Linked DNA regions of Drosophila melanogaster. Changing the gene in region 1 together with any one later gene gives a genetic interaction. Each region holds a gene or a part of one and is shown in the gene's direction. Other genes may lie near its edges. The genes, in order: pip and snk.

What was found.
Region 2: of pip (region 1) and snk, changing one enhances a phenotype caused by changing the other (phenotypic enhancement), as found in Drosophila melanogaster (one study listed by BioGRID).

The regions. Positions count from the first base shown.
Region 1 is NT_037436.4:19,334,511-19,339,769, reverse strand, and holds the start of pip (pipe), read left to right. Parts: upstream 1-2,160; 5' UTR 2,161-2,339; coding exon 2,340-2,428; intron 2,429-5,259. UniProt on the Drosophila melanogaster protein: Sulfotransferase involved in dorsoventral axis patterning in early embryos.
Region 2 is NT_033777.3:13,039,551-13,044,495, reverse strand, and holds snk (snake), read left to right. Parts: upstream 1-1,725; 5' UTR 1,726-1,757; intron 1,758-1,852; coding exon of another isoform or gene 1,853-2,404; exon of another isoform or gene 2,405-2,446; intron 2,447-2,753; exon of another isoform or gene 2,754-2,754; 5' UTR 2,755-2,814; coding exon 2,815-2,893; intron 2,894-2,957; coding exon 2,958-3,338; intron 3,339-3,394; coding exon 3,395-3,656; intron 3,657-3,711; coding exon 3,712-4,297; 3' UTR 4,298-4,331; downstream 4,332-4,945. Other genes in the region: CG45122 (uncharacterized protein), read right to left, coding at 1-35, 99-290; CG11670 (uncharacterized protein), read right to left, coding at 490-575, 645-774, 828-1,245, 1,502-1,611, 1,853-2,404; CG11668 (uncharacterized protein), read right to left, coding at 4,426-4,599, 4,663-4,820, 4,886-4,945. UniProt on the Drosophila melanogaster protein: Component of the extracellular signaling pathway that establishes the dorsal-ventral pathway of the embryo. A protease cascade involving ndl, gd, snk and ea results in activation of the spz Toll receptor ligand; acts downstream of ndl and gd.

The DNA.
Region 1 (5,259 bases):
GGCTTTGATGGGCGTGGGCGACAAAAGGACCGGAAATCGCTAACGAGGCGTGGTAAAGCAGTTTTTGCAGTAAGTTTGAATATCAAGGTAGATACTCAAAAAATTGAATAACAAAGCATAATCAAATTTAATGGAGGGATCTACCTTGAATGTATTTTGTTATTATTGTATTACAGCTTATCAAACTAATCACTAGTATGTTTGTTGCTTTTATTTATTATTAACACATTTAAATATCTGGCTATTAAAGTTAATAATTTTGCAGTTCTTTTTATGCCGTGGTCATTAATATACATATAATACATATATCTACTAAAAGTATTCACTCTAGATTAATGCAAATTGATGAAATTATTTATTTATCGTACGCACTTACATATAACATATACATATAATATATTAATTTAGAATTTGTGTAAATAATAAATTTATTTACCGAATACGATTTTAAATTTCTTTTATATATTTAAGCGGATGTATTAAACATGCCAACCAATTAACATGGAAAACCTCGCTGCATAAAATACACTGCCGAGTATTGGCCAAATATAATATATACGCACACCTGCCACAAACTCACACAATCAGCTATTTGTGTTTGCACCTAGGGCCAATTGCAGTTGTTTACAATCGAGTTGGCCAGCTCAGCGCAATCGGCACAGCCACAAAGGGACAGTTGGCAGCAAAAAACCATGGCATCGGACCGAAGATATAGCCAACATATTGTGAGCGACCACAATTGGACAGCTGATAAACTTAACCCGAAAACCGACAGCCTAACAACTCGTCGGCTTTTAAGTTTCGAAATCGGAGAAAGAGTCTGATCATTCAGATAGCTCAATTATCTCAGTCGATTTGGACAGTCATCAATGCAATAGGCAGCAACTTTACAAGTTTTTAGCTACTCACTTTCTTGGTACCAAATGCTGAAATACCTTTAATTATTACCAGATAAACACAAGACATGTGCCGCCAACGCATTTCGTTTTAATTTTACTTTTATGTTTTGGCTGTTTTTATGTTGAGGCTGGCGTTTTTCCATTTTTTTGCAATTGTTATCGAGAAATTTACACGAATTTTCAACTTGTTGCTGAAATAAAAAAAGTTTAATAAGACTAAACAATCAGTTTTTTGTCGGTCCTAAAAATGTGGACCTATGCAGATAGTTATGGGTAAACGCTTAAATTCGACAGCCGTCTGACGCCAGTTAGTGGACAAGTCAGTTACAGTGAGAGTTAAAAGTTAAGGTACCTGAAAAAGATAATTTAAAGTAATATATGATAAGACACACTTAAATAAAAGAGTAAAGGTATAAATATATTGAAATCTAGTATTAATTCTCGTAAATTAAAAATTCGTACCTCAATTTAATTTTTAAATGTTCTAATTTAATCGGAAAAAAGATTTCTTTGAGGCACTGTGCCATAAGAGTCAACTGTTGAATAAGGGTCAATGAGCTTAGCTTTGTGGACAGCAAGTGGGGAGATCGCGGAATCCAACTCTTGTAGAAACTATAGATTTGAGTTTGGCAAAAATTAAGCTTAGATCCCGAAGTTTGGCTAACGAACGAGGCGAGAAGACAGACATCGAGAAGAATCGCTTATATATGTACGAATGGCCAAAACTAATCGATGGAAATTACAAAAGCGGGAAGGTCAACTTTTCGACTGTCCATTGGGGGGGATGGGTTCAAAGGTAAACCTGTTTTTAATTCTAATTCTCCCTTCCTCTATGAAGAAATAGAAAAAACTAAAGTTCTTATTTTTGCCAACGTGGTTTGGATCACACGCAATATGTTCTATTCAACCGAACAAATTACCATTAAGGTCGGTAAACCAGCTGATCCAATAAAGGATATTGAAACAAGTGCCCGAAATTCGATTCCTTGCGCAGAGAATAAAGACACTTCGCTGTTTGGACGACCTAAATAAATATGTCTAAGTAGATTAATGTCAGATGTGGGGTAATAATAAAAATGTTGCCACAGACAAATGGGCTACAGTCACGTCCCCACGAAATCAGTCAGCCAGCGAACAAAGAGCGATCAAAAGAGCGAATAAACAGAGCCAAAGAGAGTCGAAGAAAATGGTAAAAGCAAACAGTGGTAAGCCGCCGCTGCCAACGTCTTAAAGTTGGCCAAAAAGGCGGCCAAGTGCCCCCAGGAACATTCAGTCAAGCCGCGATCGCCGAGCTCTACGGACGTCTATATCTCTAAGTCTTCGAATCGTGAATCGGAACTCAAGTGAACCCAAGTGCCGACCGGAAAATTCTTTCGGCCAAGAAAGGTCTTCGAGAACTAAGATCTCAAGCGATTGTGTTTTTTGTGTAATTGACATTGGATGTCTCTGAACGCCGAGCGATCGTACAAAATGAAACTGCGCGATGTGGAAAATGCCTTCAAATACCGGCGCATACCGTATCCCAAGCGGTAAGTGTGGTCTTCAGCCGAGAAAAAGGCGGCGGAGAAAAGATTTCTTTCACTCGAGAACGGTGTTCGTTTCAAAGGGGAAATGCAATTGAGTTCCAGTTTCAGTTAAATTGAAAACCGGTCATAATTGCCATTGAATGGCCAGAGAATCGAAATCGAGTTGGTAGATCGAAGATTGCGTTTGCCGCAGCGCTAAAGATTAAAAATACTCTGCTCTCGATTCTCCATAAAAAGCGCTTAACTTTCCGTTTTTCGCATCTGGCTAAAAGTGATAGTGTTTCAGGGTCGTTGTATTTGATAAATAAAATTAAATAAAAACTCCAATTGCTGGCCAGAGCAGTTCGAACATTCTTGACGGACTTTAAGTAGTGCCAGCCAGTAAATTAATTGCAGCTACACTAGAAGAAATAGATATTTTTGATCTTAAATTTAATATGAATCTCATCGACTTAGATGGGTTTATGTAGATCGACGAGCTTTAAGAACTTTATTTTAAAAAATTGATTGAGTACTTTTAATTAAGCTATGAAAAATTGTTACGAATGCTGATATGAGCTTCCAAGTACTGTATCAATTGAAAATATTTTCAAAAATTTATATATACAAAAAGGGGTCTATTATTTATCCTTTTATTTTTTTTGTATTTATTATTTATACTTTGAAAATGTTTTCTTATATTTTGAAGACTTATTAAAAGCAAGTATTAAAGCTTTGTAAACACTGTACTTCAACATTTAATTTTAAATGTTTCATAAACTTTTCTCTGTGCACTTGCGTCTGTCGTTTTTTCAATCTCTGCTCCAGTTAAAAGCTACAATCTTGTTTCTATTTTTTATTGCGTTTTTCATTTTCAATTCTTCTCATAATTCATTTGGTGTAGCACCTCGGGGCGGCAGATGAAGAGGAGGAAAACCACAAAAGCCGAGCTCACTTCAACTATTTCAAGTAGCCAAAAGAGCCGTGTCTTACCACCATCCTACCACTGCATTGTGTGGGCCTGCATTTTTCGGTGTTTGTTCTGGCCTTTTACAGAACCCAACTCGGCTCAGTTCGGGCCAAGTCAGCTCAGATAAAAGTTAAGAGCCCCCCAACTTGACTGCCCGCTCATTAGTCGATGGTCGATGGTCGACGGCCGGCGGTTTCTGCGGCCGCCCATAACAATTTTGGCTATTAAAAGGTGTTTAGGCCAGAGAACTGAGCCACTGCGTCCGCTATTGTGAAAGATTCGCTCTTTTTTCCGTTTGTATGGCCAAATTTGTTGCAACGAGTGCGTCGAGATGTAAACTAATGATATACCGACTACACATGTTATGGGCTAATTGGCTTTTGGGAAACTATTTCTTACCGTTTTTGTTGACTTTTTAAAAGGGTGTGAGAATTTGCTTTTCATTAAGGCAAAACGTGGTGAAGTCATGGCTCACAGCTATTTGCGTATAACTGTGAGATCTTAGCTCAAGCTAATGGCAAATTGGATCAACGACATACATATGTTTTATATTTTATTTAAACATTTTCCCACTTATTGAGTCCCTGCTAGATATCCTTTTTTCCTATAAAGCCCTCGTTAATTTTCGCGAAGCGAGGCCCATTTCCCGTTTATTTGCAGAACAAATTATTACATTAAATGTATGAATTACTGGCATTAATTAAACACATGGCTTAAATGTAGATATGTGTGATACTTTCTGTGGTTACCGCTGGCTGGAGCATAAATTTTACGCTCATTTTGACAATTTCATGCAGCTGCAAACTCTCAGTCAATCAGTTGGCCACTCAGTCAGTCTGCCAATCAATCAGGTAAACATTTATTTTTTATCCATTTCCGATGGCCAGGCGACTTAGTGAAACGAGTAATCTTGCCATTTGCACAACAAAATAGTGCAAATATTTGAATATGGATATGATTTATCACAACAGATACGAATTGTCCTGCAGAGAAACATAAATACATAAATTCCCAGCCATATTGCTGCGTACACTTACGTCGTTATTTGCACAATTCTTTTGTACGCTCTCAAATTGATATTAATTAATGAAATTAATTGGTTTTGCTTAAATAACTCGGCGACAGATGTTTGGCAGCTTCATTATCCGGACACGCGATAAATGAGCATACGTAGAAAATGAGTTCGTTGCACCCAGTTGAGAAAAATCAGTCGGAATCGATTCGAATCGATTTGAAAAGTCAAAAAAGACAATTATACGCTCAATGAGTGGAATGAAGTGCAGTTATGCAATAATTTCTTTCGAATTAGCATAAATTACGTTTCTGATTTGCTTTCCATTTGGATTAGGGTTTACCTAATACAAAAAACAAAACTCACTCTTATTTTCACTGCAAGCCGAAGCGTGACAGAAATTATTTAGAACGCCCCAAAAGAAAGAGGGCGAAGACTCAAGCCGCGCTTGAAAAGACTGTAGCTGGCTCTTCGCTGCCGAGTCTACAAGTCTTCAAGTCTTTCTTCTGTGCGCCTTTCTCAGCAATTCTTCTCTTTCTTGCCAGTTTCTTTCTTTCTCTGGGCGCCACGACATGCAGTCACTTACTCTTTGGTAATTATATTCAGTGATGTGATTTGTTTTTCTTTTCTTCATTTTCTTTCGAGTTTTGCATGCCGTTTTGTTTTATTTTGCCTGTCTTTCTGCAATGGAAATGATGCATATTGGGAATTTTACACGCTGCCGGTGGCCCGCGGGAAAGTTAATTATTGCTGTCTGTCTGCGGCGGGTGGCAAATTAAAAAATAATTATTAACAAAAACATATATATGTGCTAAATTTTATGTTTTAAAACGGCAATTAAAATGTTTTTCTTCACACACTAAGAAACAAACG
Region 2 (4,945 bases), on another chromosome or scaffold:
TCCGGCCAAGCAAATCCTCTTGACTTCAGAACGTCCTAAAATAATTTACATATTTTTTTTTATTTTTAATAGATTATGTACTTTAAGTAATGACTTACCTGAACATTATGGCAGACATAGTAGGCGTTTTCCATGGCGGCGTCATTGAAAATGTCGCAACCAATGGACTTTCCCACGCCTCCTTTCTTCTTGCCGCCCTCTTTCTTCTTCTTCTCCTCGCCTTCGCCACTTCCTGCATTACTGGATGTAGAATCCTTGCTATTACGCTTCTTTTTGCTCTTCCCTACCATTATTAACTTTTTTGCATATCAAAACGCAATTATTGATTAAATAAACCATTTCAGCACACCGCGGTGCCTAGCAACAAATGCAATCAATCTAACAATACAAAAAAAGACCTAGATAAAGTACTTTTTGCTATGCTTTAATTAAAATTAAAATTTTCTTTTTTTTACAACTTTTTGTTTGTGACATTTTATAGACTGCTTTTTATTGATTAGTAAATTCGCTATAATAATTAGGCCACACTATGGATGCTATCCAATCGATATAGGATGAAACACGCGTATAAACACCTGTAAAATGAATGAATTTGTAAAAGTATTATACATTTTATATATTTTAATATATTTTTATATATTTACCTGGAAGTTCACTGCGACAATATGCTCCATACGATGTGATGCCCACCAGGTAGTAGCGATAGTGTTTACGACTTGTGTGCCTTCGACGCCGACGTTCCAAGTTCAGTTGAAGCGGTCCTCCAGAATCGCCCTTTAAAATAATAATATTATATCTAAAATTTACCCAAAACTTATGTTCCTCACCTGGCAAGTATCGCGATTTTTCTCATAGTCATGGGCGCATATCTGACTTGTGAGTAATCCGTGGGGAGAACCTTCGTCGGCTGGCAGACTGGAGTTACACTGCTCAATGGGCACCACCGAGAGATCCAGTTCCGTGAGTATGTTCGTCTGCGGCTGGGCGAATCCCGTCGAGCCATAGCCCATGGTGTGCAGCTTGCCGTATGGTATGTCGTTCATGGGCCACAGGCGAACTGGCCTCACGAACCAGGTGTATTCCACCGGTCGATTCAGCTGGATGAGCCCGATGTCATGGTAGTTAAGACTCGCATTGTACAGTGGATGCAGATAGATCTGGGCAACACGTCGTCTTTGGGGCGCCACGTTGAGCTCCCATTCCTTGAGCTTAATGTCTCCGATTTTTACGATGTCGGGCGAGGTGCTATAAGGAAAATAATCCAGATATTGTCCAAAAGCTGTTCTTAATAATCTGTTATATTATCATATCTAATATACTTGCTTGTTAAAATGAAAAATTAAAGTTAATACCTATCAAAGGGTTATTTAGATATTTTAAGGGGTATATGTAAGTTAAGGAGACTTCGTATTTACTCTTGAGTATCATAAGATAGTTTATGTAGATAAGAAAGCTATACTCTGCCTAATTCTCTATAAGTTGTTATCCATAAAAAGCTCACCCATGAGTAGTCAGGCAATGAGCAGCTGTGAGCACGAACTCTTCGCTGATGAGGCTTCCACCACATTTGTAGTCGATCTCGTGGTTCTCGTTCCGGAATCCCAGAGCGGCCTAAGATCGGTTAAAGAGCGGATTAGTCGTACCCAATTAACTGTTAACTGATATGATATGGTGGACTTCGATTTGGATTTCGGCAATCGGAGATTTAGTCGTGTTTGTGTTGCGAACGGCGGTACTTTGGCGTTTCCCCCATTCCGGTTTCGTGCGATTTTATTTATTTATTTATTGGCCTTCGTTGATCTACGATTTTTGTTTTTTTTTTGGACTGCACCTTTATTTATTCATTACTTACCATGTGCGGGTACTGTCCAGGTGCCACAATGGATCGGCCATTGAAGTCGTCGTGCAAGTCCTCCGTCTCCGCGGTCTTGTTGTAGTTCTCCCCGTCCACTTTGCTTTCGGTGTTCAGGAAGATGTTGTGGAAGTTGCGATGGTGATTTGGTGGCGGACGACGTGGTTGCCACTGCCTGGGGCCATTGTCCCATTGCCGATGCTGCAGCGGACCTCCTGGACCTCCGGGGCAACCAGGTGGAGGACCAGGTGGAGGCGGGCCCGGTGGCGGAGATCCAGGCGGTGGTCTTCCACATGGCGGAGAAGGTGGTGGCGGCGGCGGTCTATAATAGCCGTAGTTATTAAAGTAGCCCGGCGCCCATTGACCGTTGTAACCGTAGCTATTGTAGTTGTTGAAGTCCCACCTGGTTGGATCCGGCACTGGATTCGGATTCGGATTTCGATACGGTTCCGGATACTGGGCGGGAAACTCCCACTGTCCGTTCACGTGAAATACGCACAGGAGCACACAGAGTGCGATGCAGGTCTCCAAAGGTCTCTTCCAATCCGCCATCTGTAGAGGTCTTGCTCGATTGACCGATTTAATCCGACTGGGATCTTCCAATCCACACTACGCGGAATTGAAACGCAGCGTCGCTGGCAAACGGTTTTATTGAAATTCATCCGAATTTATAATTGAGCGCCCGCATTAATTAATAAAAATACATTAAACAAAAAATCAACCAAGCCAGGCAAGGGTTTGTTTTGGGCACAGTGGTGGCTCAAATATTGAAGCTAATCGAAATTCTTTGGCCATTGTCTTCTGAAAAACTGAATTCCTCTGGGGTATATTGGTTAATTTATAGTTTAATCTGGAAAATATATACAAAGCCCTAAAGTATCTATTTTCATTATTTATGCCAGCTTCTTATATGAAATGTTTGAAAGAAAGTAAATAATGAAATCACAGAACTCACAAATAGAATGATAATACTTTGGTCTCTAATCGTGCATCTTCAATTGACATGCTTGCATTTAATCCTGCAGACTCCAAATCTTGAGGGTAAGTAGTAAATCAATCGTATATATTAATGGTGCCTCTAATATTATATTAATTAAACCCACAGCTCTCGATGCCCTTGAAATAATCAACTACCAGACCACCAAGTACACAATCCCCGAAGTTTGGAAAGAGCAGCCAGTGGCGACCATTGGCGAGGACGTGGATGATCAGGACACCGAAGATGAGGAAAGCTATCTGAAGTTCGGCGACGATGCGGAGGTTAGGACTTCGGTTTCGGAAGGACTTCACGAAGGTGCCTTCTGCCGGCGGAGCTTCGATGGCCGGAGTGGATACTGCATCCTGGCCTATCAGTGCCTCCACGTCATTCGAGAGTATCGGGTGCATGGCACCCGCATCGACATCTGCACCCATCGCAACAATGTCCCTGTCATCTGTTGTCCATTGGCGGACAAGCATGTGCTGGCTCAGCGCATAAGTGCCACCAGTAGGTAGACTTCGAAGGATCGGAATAGTTTACATCCTAAAGATAATCCTTTCCAGAATGTCAGGAGTACAATGCTGCCGCCAGAAGGCTTCACTTGACGGACACCGGACGCACATTCTCCGGGAAGCAGTGTGTGCCCAGTGTTCCCCTGATAGTCGGTGGAACCCCCACTCGACACGGACTCTTCCCTCACATGGCTGCCTTAGGATGGACGCAGGGTAGTGGCTCCAAGGATCAAGATATAAAATGGGGCTGTGGAGGCGCCCTGGTTAGCGAACTGTATGTCCTGACCGCTGCCCACTGTGCCACCTCTGGTAGGTGAGTGACAGAATCCTCGAAGACACAACTATAACTGTATTTCTTGCTCCATCAGCAAACCACCGGACATGGTTCGCTTGGGCGCCCGCCAGTTGAACGAGACCAGCGCGACCCAGCAGGACATCAAGATCCTCATCATCGTGCTGCATCCGAAGTACAGATCCTCGGCATATTACCACGATATTGCCCTGCTCAAGCTGACCAGAAGGGTCAAGTTCTCGGAGCAGGTGCGTCCTGCTTGCCTGTGGCAACTGCCGGAGCTCCAGATACCCACTGTGGTGGCCGCCGGTTGGGGACGCACCGAGTTCCTGGGCGCCAAATCGAATGCCCTGCGCCAGGTGGACCTGGACGTAGTCCCACAAATGACCTGCAAGCAGATCTATCGCAAGGAGCGACGTCTGCCCAGGGGAATCATCGAGGGGCAGTTCTGTGCGGGATATTTGCCAGGCGGCAGGGACACCTGCCAGGGTGACTCCGGCGGTCCCATTCATGCCCTGCTGCCGGAATACAACTGCGTGGCCTTCGTGGTGGGCATCACCTCGTTTGGAAAATTCTGTGCGGCTCCCAATGCCCCAGGAGTTTACACCAGGCTATATAGCTACCTGGATTGGATTGAGAAGATTGCCTTCAAGCAGCACTAGTTTCATTTTATTTTATTTATTAAATATGCTTTTTAAAATTTTTAATTTTTTCAACAATTGTTTTAAATGTAATAATTTATCTTTAAAAAGTTGAAATTGCATAGAACACATTTAATTTCTCAAAAGAATCAAGGCCATACTTGTTGTTCTATCCATTGAATGTAGTGCGCTATTCGCACATAAACTCCAGGTTGACCGGATGCACAGGCTCCTCCAAAGGACGTTATACCCACCACATAGGGTATCGTATGGCGATGATGGCGCATGTGTTGGTGGAGCAACAAGGGTCCTCCAGAATCGCCCTGATGAAATCGAAGATCACCAGTCAAATAAAACATTTAATATTTCAAAAACTTTTGACTCACCTGGCATGTGTCCATATTGCCGGAGTAGTCTCCCGCGCACATTTGACCCGATCCCAGGCCATTGGCCAGTTTGTCATAGTTGTGCAAGTACCTCTGGCATTGTTGGAAATTCAGGTGGTAAAGCATGATTTGCAGGAGATTACTGGAGTGTGGTCCAGCTGTTTTATCAATCAATGATTTAAGTTATAATGAAAATCTAAATCCGGATAAAATGGACACTAACCGAACTTGGTTTGTCCATAGCCCAGGGCAGTGAGCGGTCTCTCGGGCAGGGATTCCTGGT